2 linked regions of the Schizosaccharomyces pombe genome follow. The protein of the gene in region 1 interacts with the protein of each later gene in a biochemical or structural test. Each region holds a gene or a part of one and is shown on either strand. Other genes may lie near its edges.

The links.
Region 2: the proteins of imp2 (region 1) and fic1 form a complex in vitro, tested with the Schizosaccharomyces pombe proteins (one study listed by BioGRID).

The regions. Positions count from the first base shown.
Region 1 is NC_003423.3:3,345,970-3,350,952, forward strand, and holds imp2 (F-BAR domain protein Imp2), read left to right. Parts: upstream 1-1,930; 5' UTR 1,931-2,011; coding exon 2,012-2,080; exon of another isoform or gene 2,081-2,174; coding exon 2,175-2,266; exon of another isoform or gene 2,267-2,331; coding exon 2,332-4,004; exon of another isoform or gene 4,005-4,052; coding exon 4,053-4,231; 3' UTR 4,232-4,483; downstream 4,484-4,983. Other genes in the region: SPOM_SPBC11C11.01 (U2-associated protein), read left to right, coding at 1-319; protein tam11, read right to left, coding at 660-848; protein Ndc80, read left to right, coding at 4,879-4,906, 4,956-4,983. UniProt on the Schizosaccharomyces pombe protein: Required for normal septation. Involved in the disassembly of the medial ring during septation.
Region 2 is NC_003423.3:1,542,992-1,546,724, reverse strand, and holds fic1 (contractile ring-membrane anchor Fic1), read left to right. Parts: upstream 1-1,949; 5' UTR 1,950-1,958; coding exon 1,959-2,006; intron 2,007-2,059; coding exon 2,060-2,830; 3' UTR 2,831-3,233; downstream 3,234-3,733. Other genes in the region: multiprotein bridging factor Mbf1, read right to left, coding at 3,680-3,733. UniProt on the Schizosaccharomyces pombe protein: Involved in the ingression of the plasma membrane during cytokinesis, leading to the separation of the daughter cells.

The DNA of each region.
Region 1 (4,983 bases):
GAGAAATTTTTCGGGAAATACCCCTCAATCACCACAAATAAATTCTGCTGCTTTGAAAGTGGAAACAAAGAATAGCTGGACAGCAATTTCTGAAGAGACTGAAGGACTTCAAGATGACGAAGAGTATAATGGTATTCCTGTCGATGTAAACGAATTGTTAAACGTAGAATTCATATCGCAAATACCAATGAGTACGGAAACAAGCTCCAGTTCAAGCCCGCAGCCTACGGAGGAACGGAAAGCAAAGTTCAAACCCAGTTTTACTCAAGGCACATTCGTCTCAAAGCGCATGCGTATGCATGCGGAGGATTTATTCTAGAAAATAGAAGAATGCAATTGATAAAAAAGAACTACACTTCTACAATTTAGAATATCGCTTTTCATATAAACAAGGTATGACTGATGTTAAATTTATCCATTTTTAACTACCCGTAATACTATTATACTTTAATGACAACGATTTTTGTTTTCTCTTTCATCAAGCATTGTATTGAATAACTTATAGACGAAGAATGCTATTGCTGCTGTGCAAACTGGCTTTATCAATTCGATATATAAACAGTTTTCGCCATGCATGGCTAAGATCGTAAAGTTCAGCATCACAAAAAGTTGGAGGATCATGTTTTAAAAGTGAGTATAAGTACTTGTAATTTTAGACACTACATTTTAGCAGGGGCTTCATCGGCTTTCGCCTCAGCACTTCTCTTGGAGTCGGCAGTATCGCTTTCCGACTTTACTGCTTTTCCAACGTCATCAAAAAAGTTGTTAATTCCATGTCGCACACGTTCAATACCATAAACAATCTTGTGGTCGGCTTTACGAACGTCTTCTTTACCTTCGCGTTCCATTATTTATAATTTCAGAGGATGTACAAAAAATTCAAGGTTGGTCGTATTATCAAAACTTCGCAAATGTATAGGGACAAAAGCAATTAATAACTTTAATCTCACCTAGTGTTTAAGTGTGATAGAATGAGTATTTATCACCAGTTGTTTTGTTAAAGAATAAACCGCCGAAGCCGGGCGGCTGCTGTATATATAGTAAACATATCAGCGTCCCTACCGCCAACCCATGACGTAAGTCGGGTTATTAAGAAATGCGATCTCGTGAAATAAAAAATAAGATTGAAAATAATGGAAATTGGAAGAAAAACCGAGAATTACAAGGGCGTTTTGTATGTACCTGATAAATGAATATGTTTAATCTATTTGACTCACATAAACGTTGTATTTATGTTTTTTTTAGTGTTTATTTATTTTTTCGATTAGTGTATTTCACTAAGTAAACAAATTATTATACGATTTTTTATTCACATCGAATGATGCTGCAGGTACAAATCGAGCTATCTAAAAAATATTACTTTTCAGTACGCCTGAACCGCTTGCATAGTATATTAAGTTTTTGATTAATAGCATGTTGCATTCCATTCAAAAATTTAATATTTTACATAGTAAAACGATTTGAGACGGGAGATAGCTATACAGAACGTGAAGTCTGCAAATACATACATGCTAAATCATTGTTTTATTAGCATAATGTCTAAGTCTATAAGTTCGCTTACCGGAGTTTATGGTAAGTATTTTTTTTCAGGACTGCCTTGGGTCGCTTCTCAAATCACAGTATTCACACATAATCAATACAAAATAGTGAGCAAAACTTGTGCGCTTAACAGAGATAACAATTATAGAGTCTCAAGGATGAATAAAGTGGACTTTGAATGAATCAATTGTTCACCATATATATCTCAGCATTTGAAGGCTTTTTATCTTTCCACTGCAATATTCTATTGCTTTTTTTTGATAGTTTAAGGCTGAAAAATCTTCATTACATCGGTTTTCTTGATAAATTTGTTAATTGTTGACATGAAAAGCTGCACCTGGCAACGCGTTGCCGTTTGTTTACCTCGTTGTTAGTTTCATTTACAATCAACACCACCACCATATACGAATAAAGAATACTGCCATAAAGGCGAGATTGAAAAATCTCTTAATTCGTGTTTTTTTCCGTTTACATGTCTCAACAATTAAGCTTTAATGCATCTTCAGCAAAGCCTGATAAAAGTTTTTCAAATTACTTTTGGGTATGGTGTCTAAGCCAACGTGGATAGCTCATTATCTGCCAAAACTTTCGATTTTTGTGTTAAACACAACACCTTAACTAACATTCTTTATTAGGGTGCAAATGATGAGGGTTATCATGCTTTACTTTCGCGTTTTAGCGATGTGAAACACATTAATGAAGAGCTTCGGTCGTTTTATCATGAAAGGTGAGAAATTTGAGGTGAAGCAGGGTTTAACATGCTATGATCGTTTATTCTAACTTCAACCTTAGAGCGAACATTGAAGAAGATTATGCCAAGCGAATGGCAAAGTTGTCTCGAACAACCTTCAGTTCTTTGGAAACTGGTTGCCTCAAAGAATCAGTCCAAGTTATGAAAGCTGAAGTTGACAATATGGCAAAGTCTCATTTGCAGATTTCTCAGTTGCTTCAGGATGATGTCGAAAATGCGTTTACGCGGTACGCTGCCTCTTTAAAGGACAAGAAAAAGATGATCGTTTCGGGGATAGAAAAAGTTCATAAGGATAAACTCTCCAAGCATCAAGCTCTTGTTAAAGCTCAAGACAAATACCATTACTTGTGCAAGAAAGTAAATTACTATGTTTCTCAGCAAAACATGCTTTTCGGAAAGGAGCTAGAGAAGAACAATGCGAAATTAAACAAGACTCAGAATGCTATCACTGCTAGTTCTTCTGACTATCAATCAGCTGTAGCAGCTGTCAGAGATTCATACGCTCGTTGGACCAACGAATGGCGGTCAACCTGTGACAAACTTCAGGACATTGAAGAAGAAAGAAGACATTTCCTGAAAAGCGTCATGTGGACATTTACACTACTTATCTCTCGTAGTTGCTTTAATGATGATCAAGCATGTGAACGAATTCGCAAAAATCTTGAACAGTGCAGTGTCTCTCAGGATGTTTTGGAATTTATTGACGCAAAATCTACAGGAACGGGAATTCCTCAACCTCCAAAATTTTATGACTATTATAAGGGCGAGGTTCCCGATGATTCTGTAGAGTTGGTTCAGGCTAATTTTCAGCGGGCCCAAACCAAAATAGAAAATGACAACATGCCATTGAATCGTCCATACGTCCTTTCTGCCACCGCTCGTAATGAGTCGTCCTTCGAAAATACCCTTCCTAATACTCCTAGTGCAATTCAATCGCTTACCACTGTTTCTTCTAACTCTTCCCAAAATGGTAGAAGCTCTCCAAAGAAAAGCTTTTTGAGTAAGTTTAAATTAACGAGTCGTCCTTCGACTCCAAACGTTGGTAATACGGCTCCGGATGCATTATCAAGTCCGAGAAATGACTCTCCTTTAACTTCAGCGGCTGATGAACAGATGAAGCATCTTTCTTTACAAGAAGAGCCAAAACAGAATCCTACGCCTGCTGCTCCTGGTGCCTTCCCTAACTCTAATACACTACCACCAAGGTATAACGAACTTGGTTCTCTACCAAGTCCTAATTCTGTTTCTTTCACCGAGGACTCCCGCCCAAATGTTAACACTCCATCACGGCGTCAACAAATTCAGGAAGAATTTGGTAGTGTACTACAAATGGAGAATCGTGCGGTTTCACCCGTTTATGATTCAAGAAAGAATGGATCTCGAAGTTCATTCACATTGAGGAAAAGTAGGTCACCAAAACGTCCTTCCTCTTCCCTTTCTCAGAATGCCAGCCGACTTCCTCGTTCCTTAACACCAGGAAATTTAGAGCCAAATTATGATTTCGGTGTTCGAGTTGATCCAGCAAGTGGTACTGCACCTACCGATGACGAGCCTTATACTGATCGGGACTCTTCCTTTGTTGATGATACAATAAATACAAAAGCTACTGGAAACACGTCTAACCGACTTTCTTTACCTGCATATCCTACAGACGGCGGTGACACCAGTATTGATAATCCAACAAGTACAGATGGTCAACGTATTCTTGGTTATGGTATGTCTAATCTGTCCATCGCTATTACAATTACTAACTTGAATTTAGTATCTGCTTTATATGATTATGATGCTGCAATACCCGAAGAGATAAGCTTCAGGAAGGGAGATACCATTGCAGTTCTTAAGCTTTATGAAGACGGCTGGTGGGAGGGATTTGTCGTTGGAGAGGATGACCATAACCGTGGGCAATTTCCGTCAAATTTTGTTCGTGAAATCGAGGTTTAGCTTTCGTATTATAGTTTCGCATTTTCTCATCTTTTCTCATTCTCATTTAAATCTAAAATACTAGATTTCTAATTTTGGTTGTTTTACATTATAGGATATTTAGAATGCTACACGTTTAGTTAAGTTATCTACATTATAAGATTATTATCTTATAAATCTTTATGAATTTTGCAGATTAAAATGATACCGATTGTTATATATAGCATTATGTTCAAAATGATTGAATTATTGTCATTCATTGCACCATTTTCTACCTAAATATTTCTAGTAATTCTCGTTTGCTTCTAAAATTCTGTAATAACTTAAAAAACATCAAATCTTTACCAATCTAAGTTAACACACAGGTCTATAATAGCTTCATGTATAACTAATTACTATTTCCTAGTAAGCTGTGACAACGTGGCCGAGTGGTTTTAAGGCGTTCGCCTGCTATTCTGTAGCCCAGCGGATTCCCTTTGGGAGCGCAGGTTCGAATCCTGCCGTTGTCGATATCTTTTTTAAGTTGCAAAGCGATTCACTATAAATTTTTGCGGTTCTATATTGGAAATCGCTATTCACTGTTATTTTTGTTACTTAGCAAAGTGGTTTTGTTGTTATAACTAACGTCTCCAACGATAAAAGACAACAATCTGCTTGTATTACTATAAATGCAAGATTCTTCCTCTTACGCGAGGCGTATGTTTTCTTTTTTTTCTTTTGACTAATAAGTTAACAATAAGTTTAGGGTATTCACAGGCACCTTCTTCATCTAA
Region 2 (3,733 bases), 1.8 Mb from region 1:
TTTCCAAACCCTCAAAAAACGAAGGAATTCCAAACACATTTTACGTTTCCTGTAAACTAACAACCCCATAACGATCAGTGTTATTGATAAGAAAGCGTCATACTCGTCATGTTTAGTAGGGTCAATGACGATAGGAGCAAATTTTCAAATTTTCATAAAAATTCGGTTTTCAACACAACCCGTCACGTTTTTATCACGCTCTTCCAATTTTACAGCCTTTTACATAATCAAACTTCACAATTGCATGTATAAACACATACCTATTTGACTTAATCAACCAAACGTACTAGTAGCAGGTCGTCGTCATGAACCAGAGAATTCGTAATTCAGATCCAACTAAGCGATGACTACTGTATAAATGATGAAAAGACTCGGTCAACTGTCCAAACTGAAATTTACAAACAGAAAAATGGTTTTCGTCAATTCAATCGTTCAAAAAGTGCTCAAAGTAAACTTTTTAGCAATTTCCTAAGTAGTTTCTTTCTTCTTATGTTGTAAGTAAAGGGTAAGTTGTAAATTCCTAGTGCCACACTTCCACCTGTTTCAAACAGATGACGTCATTGCATCACTTTGCATGATTGAACTTAACCAATCACGTGCGGGGCTCTGAAGAAGGGTAACAAGGAAATGGGTCTGGAATAAACCGAGCAAGACGATACTTAAAGTACTGCTGTGTAGTTTTGTATTTTGTGTTATCGTATCGTTAAGAAACGTATCGATAGTTTGGGGAATGGGAAAGGATGGACGGAAAGTAGGATGTTATTGGTATATCATGGAGTGCGTGCTTTTTAAGCAAATATGATGTTAGCAATATGTAGTAAAAATGGTGAGTTTGTGTATAGTGCCATGAATCTTATTTCACTCTTAACTCAAGCTTATTTTATATTAACCGATGAATGAATAAATAATATATCTTTGATGAAGCTAAATCGTTGCGTGTATTTCTGATATTATGTTGTATGTAGGTAAGTGTTTTAGGTTGGACTTCTGCGTGTTTGTAAGATGTGTACGTACGCTGAGTAATTAGCAATGTATGAATAGATCCAGCAGTTCCAGAAGACCTACGAAAAAATAAAATAAAATAAAATAAAATAAAGTAAAAAATAAAATTAAAATAAAAATAAAGATAGGTTATACGCAGAAATAATATACAAGTTTCAAATATTATGAGTACTTGTCACGAATTCAATTATGGAGAATTCTGTACAGTAGGATCTTTCAAAAAGTCTTTACATAGACTTAGATTGTATATATAACATACCAACCCTTACAACATTTAAATAACAGTTTTAATAGCTAATTCATTTGTTTTACAATGAAATCTTTTGCTTACATTTTCGGGAACTTATTAGTCAATACGGGTTGGCATTTTGTTGGGATTACGGATCCGAAAACTACCCAAAAGATAAGCAAAGAAAATGAAGTTTTTTAAAAACAAAATAAATTTGTATTCGTGAAACATAAAAGAATAAAAAAATTAAGTTAGAAACATTTTATGCAAATCATTCCATTCAATTAGCAATTGTGATGGAATTGGTTATACCAATAGATATTTTACACTCATTTTAAAACAATTAAAATTAAGTGAATATATTTGTGTGGTGTGTACTGAGTCAATCATTAATGCAATTAGTTATATTAATAAAGTTCTTTTTGTTTGCGATAACTTTCGTCTCTCTTTTTTTTTTTTTTTTTTTGTTAATTTTTAATTTTTTTTAACACGGCATCTTTCTTCACGAATTTCCTAACTGGAGCCATCAATATCGTAGCGTACACAAATTTCCGTTAAAGCATTTTAAATTGCAGTAAGCTACGTTAAATGAATGAACGAAAGCTAACCCCCGTTATCGGAGACAAACCAGCCCCCTCCTACAGAAGTTGCGCTGCACTGCTTAAAATCCGCACTCGAATTGTATAAAGTAGCTTTTTTGTTTATAACCCGTTTCTCCATCTACCATATGTCAAAGAATCCTCTTGGAACGTTGGTTGTCCGAATATGGAAAGCTGTAAGTCTTAAAAGATGAAGATTTGTTTTGTAAAACTAACGTGTCTTCTTTAGAAAAATTTACCAAACAAGGCTCTAGTGGGCAAACAAAGCCCTTACTGCGTTTGCAGAGTTGGTGAGGTGGTAAAACGTACGCAAACGGATAAGAGAAGCGGTCAAGAACCATCGTGGAATGCGGTACTGGAGTTTAACATTCCCAGTGAATCTTATCATATTATGAAAATAACCGTTTTTCACGAGGGATTTCGAAAGCATCCACACTTGATTGGTGATACTGTATTGTCTTTTGAGAAAGCGATGAAAGAAGAGTTACAAAGTGAATGGTATGAACTAAAAAATGAGTTCCAATTTGCTGGCGAGCTATCTGTGCAATTCAAGTTTATCCCCACTGATCCTCTATACTTTGACCGTGCTTCTTCTAAGCCAGTTTTACAATTTCCATATTCTAGTGTCGCCGCTTTAACTCCTGTACCTAAAAAACCCTCCAAACCCTCCAAACCTCGCAAAAAGGTACCTGTCTCGCATCCTCTTCCTCCAACTCCTCCTTCCAGGGAAGAGCATGTTTCGGTGCCTCGCGAATCTTCTTTATTCACATATGAGGATGATCCCTTGCCTTCTTTTCCCAGTCCTTATATGGTTGATGATTATTACACGCAAGATGTTTTCGTGTCTGACAATGTCAATGATTATTCATATGGTGTACAAAACCCCACGAATCCTAGATTGTCCGTTGAAGACTACGATGCCAACCATTCCTCTCTACCTCCCGTCCCCCCACCTCATTTAATTCTTCCTACAGCTTCTTCTTCCCAAATATTCCATTAAACCACACATTCTCTTTTTTTTTATATTCAATGGTCACTGCATTCATCGATTTAGGTGGTATGGTATAAATTTCCTAATCTTAACATCTTTTCATTTTTTTAATTATGTATATACAATTTCCCTAAAGCCATGCACGCACTTTGATTGAATTTCTCTTGTACATACAGGCCTTTACCACTTTTCAAGTCTTAATAATTTTTTTACCTCATAAAGATGAGCGGTTCTAGTTATTATCCAAGGTTGTTTTGTTTTTTTAAACACTTCCATCTCCTCTTTTTCTTTCTCTCCTTTTTTGGTCTCTTAATTCCATACGATTGGAATGTTTAACATTCATCCTATATTTAGAGATTGAAAAGTGTACATAACTCATATATTTCTTGAATTTATTCATTAAAACTATCAATTTTATATTATCAATTTTTTGGAACAAAAACCCCTTTGATCGTATTTTTAAAAGCTTTTTACTAAACTTCATTTGTATTTCTGATATAAGTCATTTGTTTAACTGTTTTTTTTAGACACCAATGTAGCAACAGAAACATCTTCAGCCTTGCGACCCATTACTTCCGATGAAAACAAATATAGCTGCTTTACCTTACCCTGCTATGAACAACGATACATTTCAAGTCAAAATCTAAAAGTCATTACAATACAATAGTTACTAACATCAACTTGGACGGAAAAAAAGTACATTGAAAATACTATACATAGAAACCTATATAACATATATACAGGTATATATTTTAAAGAAGGCCTGGATTATGTATAAATATTGATAACATCAAAACGAAAATGAAACATTATTTTCTTTTTTATTGTCATGAAAACGGAACCACAAAGTAATTGTGATTACTTCTTTTTAGGACCGCCCAAAGGAGCACCAATGTTTTGGCCACGTAATTT